Linked DNA regions of Lonchura striata. The protein of the gene in region 1 binds, or shares a complex with, the protein of each later gene. Links are inferred from orthologs where the notes say so. Each region holds a gene or a part of one and is shown on either strand. Other genes may lie near its edges.

Region 1 (7,415 bases):
GGCAGAACACAACCTTCTGTGGAACTACATCTTGATTAAGTAGCTGAACAATGCCTGGAAACTCCAGGCAGGTGGTAGAGTGGACAAATGGGAACAGGGACAATCAAGGACCCTTCTGACCTGAGCTCACGTGTTGAACCAGCTCATCCTTGCCCTGGTGCAGCTGCAGCAGCTTCAGCCTGTCCTGGCTGCAGCTGGGCTGGCTGCCATGGCCACTCCTGGCTGCTTGGCCCAGAGGTTGTGGATCCTCAAGGATAACTTGCATGATTAGTTGGTCCGTACTGTGTTTTGTGAAAACAATCAGTTAAAACTACACAACTATTTTAAAGAGTTTTGAAGATATTTGTGTCACCTTGAGAGAACGGGGAAGGAGGGAGCAGTGACATTGGGTGGGTCTGAGAGGGCTGTGCTGGAGGTGGTAAATAGATGCTAGTGCTCATTTGCAGAGACCAGCAGCAGCCCACTTACACTGGCCTGGGTAAAAATGTTTATTCTGGCACAGAGATGCTCTGTGGAGCTGTGTAGGCATTCCCAGTTCAGGGTTTTCTGCAGTGGAAACAACCTGTCTGACATGAGCACAGCAGGCAGTGAGGGCTTGGCTCTGAGCAACACAGCCTGGCTTGAGTTTATCAGTGTAAGGGCATGAAGATATGTTTACATAGTGTGATACCCAGCAGCGAGGCATCCTTGCTTATTTTATGATTCCATCAGCATGTTCTTGACTGATGATGAATGGATTCCTTGCAGGTTAACAAGCTGAAAATGTTTTTGTTATGAAAGAGAGCCAAATCAAACTTTATTGAACAAATACATCTTGGATCTCTGGCTAGTGAGTTTTTCTGCTGTTCAAACATGTTATGTGATGTGAATGAAATTGCAGTTGAATTAGACTTAGCTGTTCATGTAGAATTCACAAGCTGCATTTTTTTTTTTTTTTCCTCACAGCTTTATTTTAGGCAGGTAAGTTATTTTTGGAGGAAATGACAGTTTTGAACAATTTGGCTATGTAAAAGTGATTATTGAAAATAGTATTTACTGGTCCCATTTTATGAAGAAATTGAATCAGTAGCATACTTGGAAATGCAAAAGGGCTGATTCTTCCATGCTTCCCAACACTAACTCCTGAATAAAACACTTGTTTTGTGGTTTGCTTTGTAAAGATGTGCCCTGTCAGGGAGCACAGGGCACAGCTCCTGCAAGCCCAGCCCCAGGACTGTCACCAGAGCTGAGTGCAGCCCACAGTTTGGTACCTGCAATGACTCTACTAACTTTGATCTATTCCCAGCTAATTTGGTATGAATAGTATCAGAACCAGGGTTATGTCTATATCCATTAGTGATGCAGAACAGAGCTTAAAAATAATCTTCCACTGACATGCAGATTTATATAATGAAAGATGGGGCAATTGGAGATTTCTCCAGCAAACTGGTGTTAAACAAGCTGCTCTGAGTTCTCAAGACCTAAAGCCTGTGATGGAAAAAGAACATTTAGACAGATCCTGTATGTGAATGATTTGTGGAATTATTGTTAGTCAAATCTATTATGATGCACTCTGTTCTATTTTCACCTGTTAAAATAAATTAAGCTGTAGCATTACTAAAAACTAAGAACTGCCAAGATAAAAGAAGGAACTGACACATAGAGCATTTAGGAGATTTCTTATACTGTAGAAGGAATTTGTAAAATTTAAACTGAAGTCACAAGCACAGATTTTCTCCATTAAGAACATTTAGTGTGATTCTCCTGTTCTTCTGGCACTCCCCAGGATAATCTACAGTTTTTAACCTGTAGGAAAAATAGAGCCCAAGAGAGCAGACAGCACTGATGCTCAACTCCATATGAGGAGATTTGCTGCCATCTTTTGGTAGATGTGTGTTCTGGAAATTAAAGAAAAATTATCTCTCACAGATACGAAACACTTTGTCCCTCTGCTCATTCTTAACCCACTTGCAGCATCAGCCCCTGGAGGGATTTAAAATTGTGTAGACATGACATTTAGGGACAAGGTTTAGTGGTGGACTTTGCAGTGCTGGGTTAACAGTTGGACTTGATGATCTTCAAGGCGTTTCCAATCTAAATCATCCCATGACTGTGATTCTGTGCACTCAGCCTCTACTGCAGAGGCAGCCTGTGAAAATTAATCTCGGCCAATGATACTCCAAGGAGCTCCCAAAAACCCTGTGCGTGCCTGTGGGGCTGGGAGGGCTCAGTGCAGGGCAGGGGCTGGGCTGGTTTCTTCATGGTCTGGCTGCTCAGAGAAAATCTGTAGGGAACAGGCTGCAATCTCTGCATGTTTACAAGTAATAAAATACTTATTGATGCCCAGAGGTAATAAAATAATATATTTGATCATGTGGGGCAGCAGGAGGTTGATGCATGGGGAGGGAGCAAGGCTGGGAGATAGTGCTCTAAAAATCACCCTCATTGCTATCAGATTTACCTTTGCAGAGGGCAAAGAGCTGAGGCTGCACTTTGGCAGGGGCAGGTTGAGGAGCTGCTGCTCAGGGTGAAAGTGCACCCTTGTGACCTGGTCAAAGGGATGTTGGGGAATGTCCTGTGCCCCTCCTCCCCTCCAGGGTCCTGCCTCTGCACCAGCAGCCTCCTCACTTCCCTTGCTCCTCTGACTCCTGGGGGAGGAGGTTCAATGCACCCCAGCAGAAAGCTGCCCACTGGTTTTTTGCTGGGCTACATTTTTTCATGGGACAGTGAGTGAAATCCAGAGCAGGTTTTGACAGGCCCCAGGATGCAGGAAAAGAGGGAAGGTACCAGCTTCTGCCAGAGAGAAAACTGAGAGGGTGTTGAGAGCTGGCACTTCACCCTGACTGCAACTCAGTGCTCTGGTTACAACACCCACACTCGTAGTGGTGCCTGGATCAACAAAATGACTGTGGTTAGAAGAACTTTCCAAATTTGAAAGAGGCCTCTTGTTTCCGTGGGTTCCTACCCTGGTGGTAGGCTGCACACTTTATTTTAATGTGGATTTGGTATCCAGCACAATTCCTTCAGCCTTAGCTGCCTCAGCTGCCTTTCTAAGGTCAATATGTGGCCACACACAATCCTTTCCCCTCTACCACCCTGTCATTCCTGAGATACCACTGAATTCCACAAGCCACTTCATTTTTTTATATACTTCAGTTCAACATTAAGTTCCTTGCAGGGTTTATTTAGTTGGAACCCTGACCAAAGTTCCCAAGTGCTGTGTGTGTGCTCAGCTGCATGAGTCCAACCTTGCTGCTGGGCTGTGCCAGAGCAGGCACCACGCACATGATGGGGTACAGCCCTGCCACGGCTGTGGGAGCAGTGCCTTTCAGAGAAATGCTGTTGGGAAAGCAAAGGTATGAGCCAGCTAAGAGCACAAGCAGGGAAACTTCCTACTCTCGCCATCCATTGACGCTGTGCAAGGGAGAAAAAGCAGGAAAGAACTAATTAAAAACCAAACCAAAACAATGTTCTCATGAGTGGGATGTAGACTCTCAGCAATGATTCTTTTTTTGATACAGATATCCCTTGCATGGTGGGGGCAGAAGGGTGACCATCAGCAGTTTCCTGGCTGAGATGATTCCCCTGTTTGTCTTGTGGGTGATGCTCTGTGTGTCCCAGGGACCTCCAACAGTGCAGGACTGGGTTGATATCTCATCTTGAAAGTAGCCCAGTTCCACCTCTGTTCCCTCTGATAGCAGATCACTCCCTGCCTGAGTGTTTTGTTACCAGAAGAGTGTTGCTCTGGACCCAGTCCAGCTTCCCTGTGAGCTGTGAGGGCCGATTTGTGTATCTGAGGGAGAGTTAGGAAAGCTGTCAGCTCCCTAATTCATGAGAGCCTCTCCACGCCCCACAGCCAGTCCCCACGGGGGGAGTCATGCTGCCTCGCTGGCCCCTGGCCCCCTGACAGCTCCTTTGGACACTCACCAGATATCACACACAGCCTCACCTGCTCACAGATCCTCTTTCAAATCCTCCCTTCCTCCTTTCCCACCACTCTTGCCTCAACCAGGATACGGGGAATTGAAATTTTAACAAGACGGGGAGTTAGAATTAAATTCTAAATTGAAATCTAGGCAATTTTAATTTATCCAATTCAGACTAAATGGGGACTTTCATCGAATCAGTATGGTTTGGCTGGGAAGGGTCCTCTAAAAGTCACCTCGTCTGGTTTCCCGCAGAGCCCGGGATTCTGGTACCCAGGCGGCTGCAGATGCCCCGGGTGGCGCCGGGGCTGGCGCTGGCGCATCCCGCGGATGCCGCAGCCGCGGGCCGGTGCGGGGAGGCGCAGCCGGGCGCCCGGGGAGCGGCCCCGCAGCCCGGGCCGCCCCGCCCGCCGCGCCGCGCCGCCCGCCGGTCCCGCCCGCCGGTCCCGCCCGCCGTCACGCACCGCCGCCGTCGCAGAGCCCGGGGCGGCACCGGGCAGGGGCAGCCGCCGCCGGAGGAGGCCGAGGCGGAGCGGAGCGCAGCTGCCGCCGCGGCGGGGGCAGGTAGGGCTGTCCCGGGAGGGGGTCCCGGGCCGCGGGGCGATGCGGGCGGCGGGAGCGGGCCCGGGGCACGCGTGGGAGCGGGGGCAGCCCGCAGCGCCCCGGGCGGGTTTGCCCACCCGCGGCCCGGCGGAACGGGGATAAAACGGTGTCCTTACGTAATGCCGAGCCTTGCGACACGGGGGCCTGCTGGGGAGGCGCGGGTGGCCGGGACATCGCGGCCGGCGGGAGCGGGGCGCGGCGGGGTCCCGGCGCCGCATCCCGGGATGCCGCCGGGCGCAGCGGGGCCGAGCTCAGCGAACCGGGCGCTGCCCCGTGCCGGGAGGAGAAGGGTCACAGGGCCACGGCAGCCGTGCGGCTCCTGACGAGCGCTTCAGCGTGCGGGATCGTTCTGCTCCTTCCCGGGAAGCAAAGGTCGAAGGTGGCCGTACCTGCCCGCGTTTAGCACCTTCTTGGCTCTGGCATCCTTTTCACCTCGCTCTTCTGCACCCCCGGCATCCTTCTTGCGGGTTGGCAAATTCGTTCTGATATATACCAAAACCTCAAGTCAAGCAGGCAAACTGATTTATTCTTCCATTTCATTCTGCTTATTCTCAGAATAGAGGTTTGTACTTGTGGGGAATTATATTAGTTTAAAAATCCCCATGTTTCTGCTTTCTGTTCCTGAGCACTGTGGGGCCACAGCAGCAGCTGCCTCAATTCTGCCTTGTCACAGCCCTTGCTGGGAACAACTCTTGCTGGAGGGGGGAAAAGTCTTTGACTCATTCAGTCTTTAGGTATTTGCAAAATAATAAAAAACGGTAACAAATTTTTCAGAAAATGGAGTGGGGCTGACTCATCACCAGTGACCAATGCAGGGTTGCATCTCTGGGGAATATTTATAGTGATTCCAGCAGAAACAGATCCCAGCTTGTTTCTCAGATGCCTTAGTGAGAACAGAGGTGTGTTGCAGTTTGTTTTGTTGGGTACAGTGGATGGTTGAATAATCACCTTTCTCATGATGTTTCACCTGTGAATTTTTGTCAGAAATAGGCTTTTGCACTATTGCAATGACATTCCAGAATAATGCCTCCCTCCAGCACTCTCCATCAAAGGTTTGCACTGATCCACCGTTTCTTCCTGCCCGCATTTTGGGGTTTGTGTATGGGTGTGTGAAGGTATGGGGGACATCACTGTTGGCTGGTGTAGCAGCAGGAGAATGTCCCCAGCCCTGGCACTGTCAGGATGGAAGCAGGATGCACAGCTCAGGCTCTTCTTGGCATCTGCTGCAGGTAGGGAAAAACACATCCACCATTGGTAGCAGATGCTCCTTTTCTGTGTGAGCTGTCACATTGTGCTGGAAAACAAAATTCCATTTTAATTACTCATCCCCATTGATATGGTGCTGGGTGTTCCTGCAGTGGGGCTGGGAGCAAGGGACATGTCCCTTCCTGCATGCGCTGGCCTGGCCCCTGCCATGCTGGGGGCATGGGGTGGGACAGCAGCACTGTTCTTCTCCTCCTCCACAGGTATTTAACAGAAACAGGTTAATTTAACATGTGGGGATGTGGTTCTGTGTTCTTCCCTTGCAGTGTAGTAACTACAGTAGCTACAGCAAGCTGCAACACCCCCTAAGTTAATCAATACTTACATGTCATAGTTTAATAAGGGGTTGCCATACAACACTGCAGATCCTAATGTGTACCCATACAATTAAGAGCTGGCTGTCTCTTTCTTTAATTCCATAATTAGCATAGCCTAAATAATAATATTTACATTTGCTTTTAAGGGGTTTATTTCCTTTATGCTCCTCTCTTTATTGGGCTACAGAGGTACTGCATAAACCCATCTTTAAATCTGCACCTTCATGCATGCAGCTCCAGAGCAAAACTCCAGCAGGAGGGCTGGCATCCTGTGAGTGTCACAGGGATGCTGCATGGCCTTATAAAGCCTACAACAAAAGAAATTGTGGACTCCTAATCTTAAATTTTGAGTCATAATGGTGCATGGATTATATGGTGTTGGCATAGTAGCAAGTAGGGACAAAAAGTATTGTTAAGTATTGTATTTAATAATGCCGAGTATTTACAAACCACGTGCTTTTACTGGCTTCTCAAAAGCCTTGTGAATGTGCCCAACTTGATGTTTGACCTCTGTGTGACTGCGCATGTATTTAGGGGTAAGTGTGCTCTTAAATCTCTGCACAACGAGGCTGCTGAACCTGATCTGAAGCAGACTGTGGGCATGACTTGAAGGGATTTGGGATCTGGACCATAAAACCCAATGTGTGGAGCCAGCATGAGCTCCTCTGGGAGCCTGGGACGTTGTAGAGGGACGCTGGTGCCAAGTGGAGCTGGTTCCTCCAGGCAGCCATGAGACGTGGAGGGAGCTGGGCCCTGCTCTGAGAGCAAAGCCCCATCCTCTGAGGTGTATTGACACCACAACAGACATTGGCTGGGAAATGACACTGCCAGGCTGGGGGCCCAGAAAGGCACCTAAAAGCTGCTTCATTCCAAGGAATAATGTTTCCTTTATTGAAGGAGATAAATGAAAAATAAATTAGTATTCTTTTTAACGTTGAGGCAAAAGACCCTCATGTGGGTTTTTTCCCCCATGCAGACAGACTCTATCTGGTTGCTGTCTGTCCCTCCCAGCTGTTCCTAGCAGCTGTAATGTGTCCACCTTGCAAGTAGCAGCTTTTGCTACTTGCAAAAGTAGCAAGTACTATGCTACTTTCATGCTTTTGGAGACAGGGAGCTGGAATGTTCAGAACTACTGGTACCATCAAGAAATGGTACATGAGTTCAGATTTATTTGGAATAAAATGTGGCTACATAAGGACAAATCCAACCTTTTACTTCCTTAGCTTTCAATCTGATAGACTTCCCTTGTCTTCATAGGAATTTCATTCTTATAATGGACTTGATTCTTATCTTAAATTTTTAGATTGTTCCTTTCCCCATGTAAATA
Region 2 (7,835 bases), on another chromosome or scaffold:
CAGGCAGCTGGTTAAAGCTCCAGTCTCATCTTACTTATGCAACATAAAGTATCATGACTAACCAATTCTCAAAATATTTCTGATACTATTCCCTAATTACTTTTCCTTGAACCAGAGGTGGTAAATTAGCTGAACTGATTCCTGGAAATGTCAAGTTGTGTTACAATTGAAATTTCTGTGGTTTTAAAGGTAGAAGGGCTCCTGTAACTCTTAATACTGTTTTTTAAGTATGCAGTATCTCCCCTACCCACAGATGAACCACCTATTGATGTCCTGAAGATTTGTGAGGCCACTGGGAGTAGTAGCTGCATTTTTCCTGGAACCTAAAACCAGGCATTTTAAATGTACTAAGTGCTTTGCCAGCCTGTTGTGATCTATCTGTTGGCAGCTGTTGTAGTGTATAGACAAACCTCTGGGATGCTGCAGGCCCTGGGCACTGCATGGAGGCACTGTGACACATCAGCAGCGGGTTGCCATGCATTATGCAGGGAGATTGAGTAATGAATTCCGGGCAAGCAATGTCACTCAGAAGTTCTGAAATGAAAATGCTAATCACAGCTGTAAAGAGCATGAGTGGATCGAGGCTTTCCTTGTATGACTATTTGTAGGTAATTAGAATGAAGTCATGTGGGGAAACTGCTCCTTTAAGTACAATGTGTGTTGAAGAGAATGCTCACGTAGTGAAGTGAGTTACTACAAGTTCCTAAGAGGAAACCTGGATCAGGGGAAATATTAGCATTTTTTCTTTTTATCCCTAAGTTTACTTATGTGGCCAGTCTATGCCCTTTGAGCTCTTGTATAGTTTAATTTCACACTGCAATCACTTAGTGTAATGAAGGTCTTTCACCATCTCCCCCATTCCAGTCCCCATTCATAAATAAATGCATATCACAGACACAAATCCCAGAGTTCTTTCCAGCTCTTCACTCATCTTCTAGCTCAGCCAAAACCTTGAAGAAAATACTAGGCTGAGTCTTTTCAAGTGCAATGTATCCAGGCTCTGCAGGTGCAGAGTGGGAATGCCCACTGCAAATTCCTGCTCTCCTCACTTAAAATCAAGCTAAGTACCTGTATGACCTCTCCTTATTCTAGCAGTCCTGATTAGCAGAGTCCTTGAGATAACCATGTCCCATATGTGTATTCATTCTTATGAATGTCAAAATCAGTATCCTGGGAATTCACTGTATCACAGTATCAAGTGATGTTCTTGTGCAATGCACTTAATGGTGGATTACTGCAACCTGTATTTCAGTTCTTATTTGCATGGTCCAAGCATGGTCCAGACCCATGAAGAGCATATCAAAATGGGCCACAGACCATTCTGAGTTCCATATAGTTGCATTCGTACAGTAGGTAGATTGCAAAATGCAATCTTATCACATCTGCCAACAGCATCAAGATTAACAATTAACCCACATTCCTGTGTCACGAGTAGGCATGCAGAGGGACAGTTAGAATCAGGAATGCATATCCCCTTTTTATCAGTGCACTGTCTGTCTGCTGGGTAACACCATTTCAAGAAGCTTGAAATCAAAATTCCCAAATTTTAGGTCACCTTTCAAGCACTTAGTCCTCCTATTTCTTTGGAAGAGCCACTTGACTGCTCTTGTTTCCTGGCTGTCTTGGCACAGTGGTGGCAATATTTAATCAGTTACTGAATAGCATTTATGAGGACTTTCAAGTTGTAATATATCAGCATGAAATTATGTTATTGTATCATTTAAGGTTCGTTCTGTGCAGAAATTTCTCTGCTACAACGTAAGGGTCCTTTAGTGGTTTTTAAAATTATCTATTTAGAAACTAATTTCAAAAGGGCCCTCCTTGTTTATCCATCTCTAACTTCTATGTAATTTTGGGGGAAGGGAGAGAGGATGATGAAATCTCTAAGGGCGGGCACCCATATCCACAAGAGCTCTGCTGAAGCAGCTCTTTTGACTTTTGTCTGCACCTGTGCTCTGTTGCCTAACTAGTTTAGTGTGGGTACACTCATTTTCCATTGTACTTATCTCCCTGCCACATGTTGCACGGTTTCGGCGATGAACAAGTCTACAAATGGATGTGTTCAAAGCTCCCCTAAAAAGGAATCAGTTTGCTGAGCTAGCTCTAAGCCTCATTTGGCAGTGATATAGTGGCCTTTGATAGTTTTTGGAGACCTTTTTCTGTCCTTCTTGGAAAGTGACCTCTGTAATTCACAAGTTCCTAGCCAAGCTGTCTGCATGAGTTGTAATTCATCTGACTCTGCAGGAGTAGATCATAACAAGTGATTTAGTAGCTCTATTGCATAAACCTAGAGATAATAATTCAGTCCATATTCTCAAATACAAAAATCACTGCTGTTTTGTCTTCTCACCAAGGCCTGCAAATGAGGAAAACTCCATTGTTTGCTCTACCAAAGACGTCTGTGAACTCTTCTGAACAAAATAGTTCAAAGCTGTTTCACTGTGTTTCCTAAGTGTGAAACAAGATGGTATTTTCTTTTGCTCATCTTTTGTTTATTAAATAATAAATCCTTCAGGGCCAGAACTGACCATTATTTTAGGTATAAACAGAACATCTAATTTTGATTTGTGCTTCCAGTTGCTACTTCAATTAAAACAATATTAAAAAGGAGTGTGAGGGGTTTTTTTTATGATCATTAGAAAATTGATTGATGATTAGATTAACAGAAGTCAAAGTTTACCAAAAGTGGACTTGAAGCTAAGAAGATATGACAAACTAGGTAGGAGTGCTGATTTATCTCTTATTAAAAAAAAAAAAAATCACCTTTAGGTTATTGGTAAAGAAATAGAAAATACAAGCATGGCACTGTATGCACAAAGTAAGTCATTATTCATCCTTATCTTGAACACTGTGCAAAGTGCCTCTTATCCCAAAAATCTGTAAAAGTGGAACAGCTCAGAGAAGGATAATAAAGATGATCCAAAGACATGGAAGAGCTTTGTTATAAATAATCACTGAGTTGGCTGTGACTCCTCAGTCTTGAAATGAGAGAAGAGCTGTAGGTCTGTATGACAAAGATAGATACTGAACAATTTGTCTCCTCCAGCACAAGAAGTAAGGCACATTGATGAAGGCAATTGGAGCAATATTCAAACAGATTCTTGATGCTCTGGGAAGCAGGCCTGTGGAAGTTCATCACCAAGGAAGCTGCTGATTTAAAACTGGTCCAGTGAGTGGATAAGTACATGGGAGGAACAACAACAAAAAAAAAGATGACTACCAAAGTCAGCTTGGGAAGTCCTCGGGAGTGAAAGCAGTAGCAGGTTGAAAGCACACTGGCCTATAATACATCCCTCTCCCCCATTTTCACTCCTCCTTAGGCATTTCTCTGGACCCTCAGAACAAGATGGATCTTTTGACATAGCTTTATATGAGTCTGTAGTTACAGACTGTGGTACCTGCTATAGTCATCCCTACAGCATCAGCAGTTAAGGGTCTCTCTGGAGCGTGTGCCTGAAAAATAGTGTTCGTGCAGGATTTCTCCATTGTTTGTAATTGCACATTATAGTTCTGCCTTGATCTTTGTGGTCATGGCAGTGACTTGATAGCTTTCTGTTGATTCAGTGAATGTCACCAATGAAGGCTCTTTTAGATGCTTGACACAAAGAACTTAGGTGGGATCGAAAGTTTACTTGGTTGCATTACTGTAACTTTCATTAGAATAATTCTGTAATAGAAGAAATGTGAAAAGTATTAGAATCGTGCTTGATTTTGTTTTTTTTAGACATCTTATGGCTTTAAGAATTTGAAGAACTTTTGGAAGCACTTATACCTGGAATCAGGATGGAAACTAGAGAATTCAAAGTAATATCTAAATATGACTGACATATGTACTGAGTACTTTCATCTAAGTTGCTAAATTAAGAAACCTTAAATTTATATGTGTTATTCTCATAAAAAATACGAACGATATTTCCCTATATTAAAGCGGGACTTCTGTTACTCTGTTCTGTAGTCCCTCGGGCAGGTTTGCGGCCGGAGCGCAGGGCGGGCTGCGGAGGATGCTGAGGCACGGCCGGGGCTGCGGCGCGGGTGACTCAGGGACACCCGCCCGCTCCGAGCCGCGTCAGCGCCGAGACTCCCGGGAGCCGCGGTGAGCGACGGGCAGCCCGGCCTCCCGCGTGCGGCGATCCCAATGATCCCGCACCTGGCACAGCTGCGCCGCCTTCCCCGCCAAGGTGCTCTCCACAGTCATTGCGTGGAACGATGAAATTTTAGAAACTCTCCAGTCTCTGCTGGTCTCTGGAGTAAGGACACTGTGAGGAAATGTGCAAAAAAGCCCCACACGCAAACGGACAAACGAGCCCCCCCCACATCCCCTAAACCGCTGCGCAATGGTGGGCGGAGAGGGCGGCACTGAGGCAGCCGGGGCGGGCACGAGGCGTCCTCGGCGCTGGCCGCCGGCTCCCCGCGCTCAGCCCGCAGGGTCCGCCCGGGCCCCGCGTCCCTGCCTTCAGCTCACCGCTCACCGCCCCCCGCCCGGGCCCGCCTCAGCTCACCGAACCCCGCCCGGGCCCGCCTCAGCTCACCGCCCCCCGCCCGAGCCCGCCTCAGCTCACCGCCCCCCGCCCGGGCCCCGCCTCAGCTCACCGCCCCCCGCCCGGGCCCCGCCTCAGCTCACCGCCCCCCGCCCGGGCCCCGCCTCAGCCCGCCGAGCCGCCCCAGCCGCCATGTCGCCCTGCGCCGCCGCCGCCAGCGGGCGCTGCGGCGGAGCGCATAAAGGCCGCGGGCCGCGCGCGTCCCCGCGTTTCCGTGCCTGCGGCCCGCCCGCCCGCTCCGCGCTCGGCCCGCCCGCGGCGATGCTGGCGCTGAGCGCCGCCCGCCGCCTGCTTCGCCCGCCCGGGGACCTGCTGCCGCCGCCGGGGCTCGCCTGCATGTGGGCGGCCGGTACCCGCGGCTGCAGCGGGGCCGGCGCCGGCTCGCCGAACCCGGTGGTGTACTTGGACGTGGGCGCCGACAACCAGCCGCTGGGACGCGTCGTGCTGGAGGTAGGGCAGCGGGGGCTGCGGCGGCTCGCCCGGCGCGGGGCCCGGGACGGTGCTGCGGGGCGCAGAGGGCCCGGCCGCGGGCACGGCGGCTGGCGAGCGGGCAAGGTCAGGGCGGGCAGCGCCGGCTCCAGGGCCGCGGCGAGGGCACCCGCGGCCCGGCGGACGGCGGGGCTCGCCCGGCTGCCGGAGCCGCTGCCCGGCTGCCCTCGGGGCGCCTCTGCCGGGGCGAGAGGCGCTGGTAGGGCTCGGACTGGGGCTGGAAGCGCGCTGCTCTCGCTGAGCGCCCGGCCGGTCCCTAAAGCCATCCCACGGGACGGCTCGGGGGCAGGGCACGGCCCCGGTGTGGCTGGGAGCCTCGAGGGAAGGCCACTTGCACGGTGTGTAAGCAGAAGTACTGAACAGGAATGAACTTACTGCCGTCGTGTACCGCTGGCTTGAGAAGGGCGGGCAGTGTCCCAGCGGCACGGGGGTCCCTCACTTCCCGCGGGGGCTGCTGCTCTGGGGCAGCCGCGCCTCCAGCTCCATCCTGTGTTTTGCTGGGCGCTCCTCGCGCGGTTCCTTGGAATCCTGCGGGTGTCGGTCTCCCGGGGCGCTGCCTCCTCCTCCAGCCTCGGGCTGCACGTGCAGCGAGGCAGCAAGCTCGAGAGCCGGGTACCAGCTGGCTCCATCCCTACAGATCCTGTCTCTGAAATGCTCGGCCGTGTAAAGAAGGCCTGAAGAGGAAAACGTCTGTAATCCCCCTTCTTAAAATAAAAAAAAAAAGGGCCATGAGCACTGTGTGCCACGTTCTGCACACGAGACCTTAGGGCTGGCATGTGTCTCAGATGGATGGGAAAGGTTCTGTGTTCCAGAACCACGCACTGGAGAACAAATGAAGCTCTCAGGAGCGCTGCCTGCTGAGGGTAGTCAGTGTGGCCTTCTGCCTCCAGCACCCACCTTGGGTCTGTATTTGTAGAATTTTTAAAAAACGTTATTCATCGGAGTGCTCTCTAAAAGAGGCTCCTTTGAGACTAGAGTCCAGTATATTTTTATTTATTGATTGTGTTAGCATATGAATAAATTGGACTGTTCCAGCTCTTGTGCTCTCAGGAGGTAGTGTTTCAGGCAGTCATAGGTAAAAATATTACTCTTCAAGTTCCTTATTCATTAATGAAAATCTGGGTGGTATAAAAAATAGCATTAATGTTCCTGTACTCCTTGTGGTAGCATTTAATGTCTATGTTCAAGTTTTTTAGTGTGCCCAGTTTTCAGAAAATCTGAATGAATTGCAGCATCATTTTGAATTTTTTTTGTTAAGTTGTGGTGATCTTCAGCTGCAAATTATAGTCATCTGAGAAGAGTAGCCTGGGGAAGGAACATTAAGTTCTTATTGCAGACATGCTGTTTCTAGGTGTCTGCTGCTGGTCATTGTCAGGATGTAAAACTTTGGTGTGGCTGGTACAGCCACTTTTATGTCCCTTTTAAGGTTAGTAATAAGATGTACAGTAATCAAAATCAGAAGTTTTCATTGGTTGCAAACATGTATGTAACATCATACATTGTTTTTGATGTTCAATTTCTGCTTTTCTGTTTCCTTTGCCTTTTCTGTCGTTTTCAACTTCTGGTTCTGTGCAGGGAGCGGAGGAGGACTTTGGTCTCTCTAGTTGCATCCAAACTCTGATCTTTGGGGTCCATAGTGAAGGTTCTTCTTAGTTACTGCTCAATTATGTATTGATCAATTAAATCATTAGACACTGCTCAAGTGGCTCTTCATTAAGTGGCTAAAAGTTTCATTGAGGGGGTATTTTTCATTGCTGGCCAAATGCTTGGAAAGTTTTGAGGTATTCATGAAGTTTTTGATGTTTTGTGATTTCACATAACTCGCCACTTTGGGAAGGGGTTTCAGTTGTACCATGTAAATGTCAATCTCCCGTGTAAATGTGTTTCTATGTACATTTGAAAAGTCTGACTTATTAATTTGTCTATTTTTAACAGCTGAAAGCTGATGTGGTCCCAAAGACAGCAGGTGAGGCAACATCTTCAGAATTTCATACTTAATTAGTTAAGCTATATATTGCGATTTGCAGGAATGAGAAGGTTATTTTACCCTTTACAACTGTTTTTCATGTTCCATGTCCATTTATTATATGGAGAAATATGACAGGAAGTATTAGTGAGGAAATGGAATTTGTAATTTTCCAGATAGTTTCATTTTGCAGTTTGCACCAAGATAGTACAGTTCATATATTGGGTTAACAGTGCTGAATAAAGATGTTTAAAACCATACTTGCTGGCATTAAGATCAAACCCCAGAGCAAATGGGGAAGGGCAAACTAAAGGGATGGTCTTTCTTAGAGTTTCCAAAGAGTATGTGGGGTTTTATTTTACTGGTCACTAGTGAATTAATTTTGGAAAGTTCTTGTGGTTTGTCATTTGTTTCCTTCCTTGTCTGATTATTTAAGGGTCCTGAAAAAAACTTGTACTTTTTAGTTCCTAGTAGACAAATATCCTTAAAAAGACATAGTCCTCATAACTGCTATAAAGAACAAAGGCATAAAAGTCAGAAAATGAAACCTGTGACTGCAGGCAAAGGTGGAGGGAGTTAGGGAATTGGAATCACAGCAAAATAAAAGGGAGATGAGATGGAAAAGGCTTATGTTTGTACCCTGTTCTGAGGCCAAATAAGCTTTGTTTTCTTGGCTTTATTACCAGGGTTTTGTTAAAGTATGGAAATAACTAATAGATTGATAATACTTTAAAGATGCAATCAAGTTTTTGAAGTGTATAATCTTGGGATATGGTTAATTTAGTTGTGTTTGTATTGTCACGTCCGATACAAAATGCAATACTTCATACTTTGTTTCTACA
Region 3 (7,921 bases), on another chromosome or scaffold:
GGCAGCCTGAGGGACAGTTCTCATGTGCTGGGGGTGCCACAGGCTCCCAGGAAGAGAAATCCCTGTGCTGGGCTCAGCAGGAAAGAGTGGCTCACGTGTCCAGCTCTGCTGTTAAATAACAGCAGGAGAGAGGTTTATTCTGAGCCTGTTAAGCTGGTCCTGTGTTCCACTTAGGCTTAGTCTTTTTATCTCTACCCATCTTCTTCCTCTGTAAGACCTGCTAAACCAGTGAAAAGAAAGGGGTTGAGGTTTTTTTGGCTTCCTTTCCACTAAGCTTCTTGCCACAGCTCCCTGCAAACGCTGCAGGTGAGTGTTGGCCTCTGAGCAGAGGGGAAATACATGTTTTCATTTCCTAAATATAGTTGTCTGTAACTGCTTCCTTGACAACCTTGAATGTCATCCAGGTCAGAGATCCAGTGCTGGGGAGGAAGTTCAACCCTTTCTGTGTCACCCTGACCTTTTTCTATTTGAACACAACAGCCTGGTTCAGGGAGGAACTTTCAAGTACATAGGGAGGGAAAGCTGACAGCAGGAATGGGAGGACTATATCCTTGGGGGCTGTTCTGCTGGTTTTCTGGGTGAGACTTGTGTGATAGGGATGTTTAACCTGCCTGGCTTTGTTACCCTGGGCTGGCTTTTGCACCTTAATTGCAATACTCAGGACAAAAAAAAAAATTACAGTCAATTGTTGAGCACCTTTGTCCTTTGATAAAGGTTGTAAGCTCTTAAATCCTAAAATAAAACAAATACCCTGGTGCTGAGGAGGAAAGAGAACATTGTGTAAGGGCAGGGAAATTAGGCCACTTGGGGAATGTGCTTTCAGGCCTATTTCTGTCTGTCCCAGCGAGCTAGAAGGACACTGACTTTGGGGACAGAGCTCCTGACCCTCCACTCCTTGCTTTGGCACTGCTCCCTGGCTCACTCTGGAGATGGCACCTGTGTCAGCTCCTCACCTGCTCCAGCAACCTGTGGGTGACCAAACTCACCTCAATCCTTCAGCAGCTGTGTTGTGAGGGAAAGAACCATCATGACAATCCTGAAGTCAAAAATTCCTGGGCTGTGCTACTGTGCAGTTCCCTGCTGATTCAGCTCCTCACAAGATGGAGGGATGGGAATCTGTCTTTAATAGATGAAACAAGGTGTGATTTATGGCTGGTAAACCCTGAGTGACCAGTCAGGTGCCAACATCACAGAGGCCAAGAGAATAAAATTTTAGAAGAGCTTTGATTAGGAAAACCTTTCCTTTAAGCTTGGCTCATGTTTTAATTAACGTCATCTATTAACATTTTCAAGAGAAATGGGTTTGGCAAACCAAGCAGCCATTTGGGAAGGCAGTGAGGAGTACAGCTGCTGTACTGCAGCAGGAACCTCCCTGGCTCTGTACAGACTAAGTTTTACTAAATAAAACTACTTTCAACCATTCTTGTATTTCTCTGCTGCTGTTGTTGTTAAGGACACTCCAACTTAAGCTGTTCCACCTTGATACCATAAAGAAATAAAAGCGTGGCTTTTCACCTGCTTTATAGTGTGGTGGCTGCTCAGAGCTTTATGAGATGTAATTAAGGTTAAGTTCATGGAACAGCTCTCTTATATTCAAGTCTGCATAGTTTTGAAGGTCTAACTCCTTGGCACAGCTTGTTTGCCCTGAAATCTGTGTGTTTTGAAGGTTTAACTCCTTTGTGCAGCCCACTGTGCACCCAACTGAGTCCCAGTGAAGCACCAGGACTGGGATCAGGGCAGGCAAAGCCCACAGCTCAGAAGCTGATGTAGCACCTGTGCCCCCACAGCAGCAGAATTTTTGGATCCCTCAAAGCTGGGAGCTGCTGCAGTGGTGGATAAAGTCTGTTTGCAAGGCTCCCTACAGGATTTACTCACGCCTGTGTGAAGAGTGGTCCGTGGAGCTTTGTTCCTGGTGCATCCGCAGAGGAGGGATTTGGGGGAAGTGCTCTCCTGCTGCTGGGTAAACGCCTTGTATTGATGTTCCAGGTGTGAACTCATGACAGCCTGGCTCTAATTACTGTTTTTATCATTTCTAATGACAGGCTTTAGGTTTCCAGGCTGCTTATGGATTTCAGGGGTGTGGAGTGACAGTTGCTCCCCTGGAGCTTAGTGACCTCCTCTGGTCTGTGGGCTTTGGGGATGGCTTTGGCCACCTCCCGCACACAGATGGATTCCAGGGCCCCTCTGAGCCCCGCTCACTCCAGCAGCTCTCTGGGGAGTGCACTCCTGCAGAGTCATCTGCTCTGAGTCACAAACAGCCGTTTCCCTCCCCTGCTCTGCCCCTTAGCCCTGCCACTCTGAGTGTTGCTCCCTCTTCCCCCTGTTCACTTTTCCGGTGGTTTCTAAGCCCCGGCTGGCAGACGGAGCGGTGGCTGCTGTGGGGTGGCCGAGTCCCCGTGATCCCCTGCCTCCAGCCATCTGTCACCTGCCTGTCTTACACTCACGGGGCTTTAGAGGTGACCCGAAGATAGATTTGTACCCCAGTGCTGCGTCCCAGGCTCGCCCTGGGGCTGGGGAGGCTCTGTGCCCCAGGGAGGAGCAGTGTCAGTGCCATGCTGTCCTCTGCCATGGAACTGGAACTCACTGTGATCCCATGCTGTTCCTGGAGGAGTGAATAGGTGTGATGGGTTTGGCCTGGCTCATGGAAAAAGGCTGAGCAGCCCTTTCCTGGTGAGGACTTTTACTGTGCTTGAGGGAAAACCATGTGGTCTTTTAGGCACATCCTTTGTTGCTGAAAACCCTATGGTTTTCCTGAGCTCTTGGCCTTGCTGTGCTGAAGGGGAGCATCTATCCCTTGACCTCGATTTGTCATCTGCCAAGAAGTAATCGAAAAAATCCCATCTGGTGCATGACAGAGATGCACAGTGCTGGGGGATGCCGGGAAACTCGGGGCACTCAGAGCTGGGTGGTTTGTCCTGCCAGAGCAAAGTCCTGGCTTAGCTGCTGGAGGGACATTTCATCCTGTAAAAGGTCTGAATTTACCTTCCAGCAGCTTCAGCTCTGCATGTAATCCTTTGATTCATTGATGATAAGTCTGTGGATGGCACAGTGGCCACCTGATTCCAGGTATCCATTTACCCCACTGGCAAGGTGCTGTGTGGAAATGAGTCAGGGATAAGCTGGGGGGGCTGAGGAACTTCCTGAGCCTCAGAGGGAGGAGTGTCTTACATGGAAACAGGAGAGGTGAGTTCTGAGACAGAGCAGAGCTGTGTTTCCCATGGAAATTGACTTCTCTTGGCCTGAAAAAATGTGTTTGCTAATGCTGCTTCCTGCTCCTAACCTGCTCAGGAGATAAAGCAGGGATTTCAGCCTCCAATCCAGCACCTTTCCCCAGTAGTAAATAGACGTGGCATTACTGGGTGATGTCATGGCTGGAGCACATCCCAGCAAGGCCAAGCCTGGATCAGGTTATATCTGTCCTCTCTGAATATTGGCTTACTCCCAAAGGAGCATATTGCCAGTCCAAGGGCAGTGACTGAAGCCACCCTTCCCAAGGTCACCTCTTGCATGCTGGAGGGGACAGCCTGAGCTGCCCATGCAGAGCAGAACCTCGTGACTCTTCCCTCCTGGCACCACCTGCTATTGGCACCAGCAAGGCAAAGACCCCCAGCCCTCCTTCATGGCGTCATGGAATGGTTTGGGTAGAAAGGCACATTAAAACCCATCCTGCTCCACTCCCTGCCATGGCAGGGATACCTTCCACTATCCCAGGTTGTTCCCAGCCCTGTCCAACCTGGTTTGGGGCACTTCCAGGGATCCAGGGGCAGCCACAGATTCTCTATCCAGCCTTCCTGGTGCTCTGTCACCTGGTTGCCTTTGAAGCAGTGTGAAAAAAGGGACAGAAGCTGTGTCAACACCAGCTCTGTGATGTGTCTGCAAATTACCAGCACTCCCAGTTCAGCACAGCTTGGTCACATCCAGGCCTGGATCTTCCAGCTGGGAGTCAGTGCAGCCTCCCTGGGCGTTCCACGTGGGATCTGTGGGTGGAGCTGCCCCCAGCTGCCACATCTCCTCTGAACAGCCCTTATGTATTAATTGGCACCAATCTGTGTGTCTGTAAATCGAACTTTTTGATCCAATCAGCCTGGAAAGAGATTTCCAGGTGTGAGGGGACATTAACAAGCCAGGGATGGGGTAGTCACAGCCTTTCTGTGCCAGGGCTTCGCCACCCTCAAAGTAAATATAAATTTCTATGTATTTGCTCACTCCCTTTCCCTCAGAACGCACTTCAGTCCCTCACTCCCATTGCAGACACAGAGGCTGTTTCCTACCAGAGCTCACTCCTACCTCGGGCTGTCAGAAGGGGAACCTTCCTCAGCAACAGCTGCACAGGTCTCCTCCCTCTCTGCTGAAGCTAAGACCGCAGAGGCTGTTCCGTCTTCTCCCAGGCATTACAATTACATGGGATTAGGAGGGATAAAATCCCAGAGCCTGGCCGCTTGTGTGCTCACACCACCAGACTCCAGGCTCAGGCCCCCTCAGTGCTGGCTGCTGCCTCTCCGCTATCCTTGCAGAGACCCCGTCGCCCCTCCCAGCCGTTTGTTCTGCCCAAATCATTTGGGTCCGGGCCAAGGCCCTGGGCACGCTGGAGAGCCCGGAGAAGGCCGGGGCTGGTGAGGAACCGTCTGTTCTATGAGACGTGACGGGGCCGGCCGTAGGCGGGGGCTGGGCTGCAGCGCAGAGCCCGCCGCAGGAGCGGCGGGAGGGCCGTCCCCTCAGGCCGTTCCCGTCCCCTCAGGCCGCACCGGAGCCCCCCGGTACCGCGGGGCCCTTCCCGGCAGCCCCCGCGCGCCGCCGCCATCTTGAGGGCTGGCAGCGCGGCGCGCGTCCCCGCTTCCAAGATGGCCGCCCGGGCCTCAGCGGGCGCTTCCGGCCGCGCCGAGGCCGCGGGGCTGGTAACGGCGGAGCCGCTGCGGCCCGGACCGGGCTGGTCCCGCTGCCGCGGCCTCTGAGGCCTCCCGGGAGCGGCACCGGCGGACATGGCGCTGCTGCTGCGGATGGGGCTTCTCCGCGGCCGCTGCGCCTTCTGGCGGCCGCCCGCCGCCGCCTGGGCCCGGCCCCGCGGCTGTGCCCTCGGCGGCGTTCGCGGCCTGCAGGTAACGGGGCGGTGGCGGGGCCGTACCGAGCGCTGGGGGCGCCGGGGGAGGAGAAGAACGGGGCAGAGAGGCGTCCGGGCTGCTCGGGAGGGACCTGTCGCTGTGCCGAGCCGAAGGTCCGGCGTGACAGCGCTGTTGGGCGCGGACTTGGGGAACGCCGTGGAGATAATGGAATGATTTGTGTGGGAAGGGATTTTATTCTTGTCCGCTGCCATGGCAGGGGCACCTTCCACTATCCCAGGTTGTTCCAAGCCCCGTCCAGCCTGGTCTTGGACACTCACAGGGATCCAGGGGCAGCCACAGCTGCTCTGGGCACCTGTGCCAGGGCCTGCCACCCTCACAGGGAGGAATTCCTTCCCAATGTCCCATCCAGCTCTGCCCTCGGAAGCCACTGCCCTTTGTCCTGTCCCTCCATCCCTTGTCCAAAGTCCCTCTCCAGCTCCCCTGGAGCCCCTTCGGGCACTCAAAAGGTCACAGTTTTGTCACCCCAAAGCTTCTCTTCTCCAGGCTGAACAATCCCAATTCTCCAAGCCTTTCCTTGTACAAAAGGTGCTCCGTTTCTCCCATCAGCTTTGTGGCCTTCTCTGGATTTAGGGCTTTTTCTGTGGTGTAAGGAGAACAATGTGGGACTTTGTTTCATGCCGGGTTTTTGTGGGATCAGTTTGAATTTAAGCTGCTCTGTTCTAGAGAGCATCAATCCTGAGGTTGCCATCTTAGGCCATCACAGGCTGGAAAAAAGAGGAGAACCAGGAAAAATGAGTGAGGGGTTTCAGCCTGGTCAGTGTCCCTGGCTGGTTTAGAAATTGGAGCCTGTGCAGTGGAGGGCAGACAGGGAATCACACTGGAGAAGCGACCAGACTTGTGTTGCATGAGACAGTTCATAAATGTTAGTTTAGATGTTGTGAAATTGCACTTAAGTCTGAATATCCACTGTAGGATTCTTGCTGAGTTACCTCAGGGACAGAGCTGCATTGTCCTTGCTCCTATGCAGGAGGATTGAAAGTCTTTAAAATGTCTTTTTTTTGTTAAAAAACTTTCTACACTCTTAAGAACTAATTTCCAATATGCCTTTAGAACAAAAACACAGACATGGAGAGGAAAAAGGATGAACTATTAAGTGTTTCAAGCATGGGTTGTCTATTTCTACTTATGCTTTCTTTGTTCTGGGTTACAAACATTTCCCAAATCAAGTGGGAAATGCCCAACCAGGAATCCCATCCAGGGCTCCCAGCTGCTGTCCTGACACTCACCCACAGCATTTCCCTGCTCGGGAATCTGAGTCTCAGGGAGGCACACACAAAGCTCAAGCAGCCGCACTGCTTTTCCAATTGTTGTCTTGTTTTTCTTTCTCTCCTTCCTCAGAGCCTCCTGGCACCAACACTTGCCCTACCACGTCAAGGTCTCGGCGGAGCCCTGACAAAACAGCACATAATCCGAGATCCAGTCAGACTTTGGAATCTCCTGGGTGAGTCCCAAGGAGCAGGAAGGGAAAAGGTTTGATTTCATAAGAGAATTGACCTTCCCTCTGCATTCCTGAAAGTGCAGCAAAGATCTTCTGTTCCTGGATGTGGGAGCTGGGGTGTTTGCAGGGATCCAGGGTTGTGTTTGGGGACAGGAATGAACAGTGGCACCTTCCCATGAGGAGCTCAGGAGATTAAAGAAGTGCTGGAGTCGTTAGATTTTGTGTTTGTAGCCTTTTTGGCTTTTATTGGAGTGTCCCCCAGTATTCCTGAGAAACCTGTTTTAATTCCATTACCTACATTTCCTCTAATGAGCATTTCCAATCCCAAGTGTGAGGCTGTTCCTAACTGCCCACACCAGTGTTAGCGGTGGCTGTGCCTTGGGAATTGTGTCCATGGTTCAGTACTAAAGGAATTTCTCCAAATTATTTCCCTTGTGCCATCAAAACAGTCTCTGACCTCTGCTTGCCTGCAGGCAGCACCTCCTGGTTTGCTACATCCAGCTCTCAGGGGAGTAGCCAGAAGAATGGAGGATTCAAGAAGAAATCTCCACAGGAGGAGGATGGTATGTGTGTGCCAGAAATTCCAGAATTTACTGAAACGCCGGGAAGGGCATGCAGGAAGGAAGATCCACCTTTGTGCTTCCCTGTACCTGCAATTTCCCCCTGTACAAGCCTGGGGCTAAGGGAAAGTTGGAAGGAGCATTTTGGTTTAGATGATGGAGTGGAAGATACAGGACAGATTATTGAAATCCTGGAGTGGTTTGGCTTGGAAGGACCTTAAAGCCCATCCAGTCCCACCCTTGCCATGGGCAGGGACGCCCTCCAAGCCCTGTCCAGCCTGGCCTTGGACACTGCCAGGGATCCAGGGCAGCCACAGCTGCTCTGGCACCTGTGCCAAGGCCTGCCACCCTCACAGGGAAGGATTTTCCCCTAATATCTAATCAGGGGATGAAAGATCATGGAAGTGACTCTTCATGGGCCACTTTGCTTCCTGTGCAGATTTCCCCATTGCTGGTTGGCTTGGCATTGCTCCTTTATGAAGAGGGACAGTAATAATTACCTGGGTTTTTTTTGTTGTTTTTTTTGACTTAATAAATTTGTATTAACTAAACCCAGTCATTTAAGCTGGATTTGGGTTTATTTGCTTATATTTCATTTATCTTCAGTGTGGATGTGTCCCTACTTCTGGTGAATCACAGAACTTAGGTATAAATTCTTTAAAGAGCTCTCAGCTGTGTTGCTAATTTTTCTTGTTTTTTTTTTTTTTTTTCTAAAATCAGTCTTTCTAGATACTGTTTTCCATGTCTTATTCTCCTAAGCCCCAAGCATGTAAAAATACATTTGAAAATGAGTTTTATCTCCC

The links.
Region 2: VDAC1 (region 1) and PPIF share a complex: the UniProt entries of both Homo sapiens proteins name them as parts of the mitochondrial permeability transition pore complex. The link is inferred for Lonchura striata from reciprocal best matches to the Homo sapiens genes VDAC1 and PPIF.
Region 3: VDAC1 (region 1) and SPG7 share a complex: the UniProt entries of both Homo sapiens proteins name them as parts of the mitochondrial permeability transition pore complex. The link is inferred for Lonchura striata from reciprocal best matches to the Homo sapiens genes VDAC1 and SPG7.

What each region holds. Positions count from the first base shown.
Region 1 is NC_134617.1:9,728,018-9,735,432, forward strand, and holds the start of VDAC1 (non-selective voltage-gated ion channel VDAC1), read left to right. Parts: upstream 1-4,360; 5' UTR 4,361-4,469; intron 4,470-7,415. UniProt on the Homo sapiens protein: Non-selective voltage-gated ion channel that mediates the transport of anions and cations through the mitochondrion outer membrane and plasma membrane.
Region 2 is NC_134609.1:8,881,745-8,889,579, reverse strand, and holds the start of PPIF (peptidyl-prolyl cis-trans isomerase F, mitochondrial), read left to right. Parts: upstream 1-4,784; 5' UTR 4,785-4,799; coding exon 4,800-4,988; intron 4,989-6,962; coding exon 6,963-6,993; intron 6,994-7,835. UniProt on the Homo sapiens protein: PPIase that catalyzes the cis-trans isomerization of proline imidic peptide bonds in oligopeptides and may therefore assist protein folding. Involved in regulation of the mitochondrial permeability transition pore (mPTP).
Region 3 is NC_134615.1:22,789,056-22,796,976, forward strand, and holds the start of SPG7 (mitochondrial inner membrane m-AAA protease component paraplegin), read left to right. Parts: upstream 1-4,874; 5' UTR 4,875-4,979; coding exon 4,980-5,096; intron 5,097-6,458; coding exon 6,459-6,561; intron 6,562-7,031; coding exon 7,032-7,121; intron 7,122-7,921. UniProt on the Homo sapiens protein: Catalytic component of the m-AAA protease, a protease that plays a key role in proteostasis of inner mitochondrial membrane proteins, and which is essential for axonal and neuron development.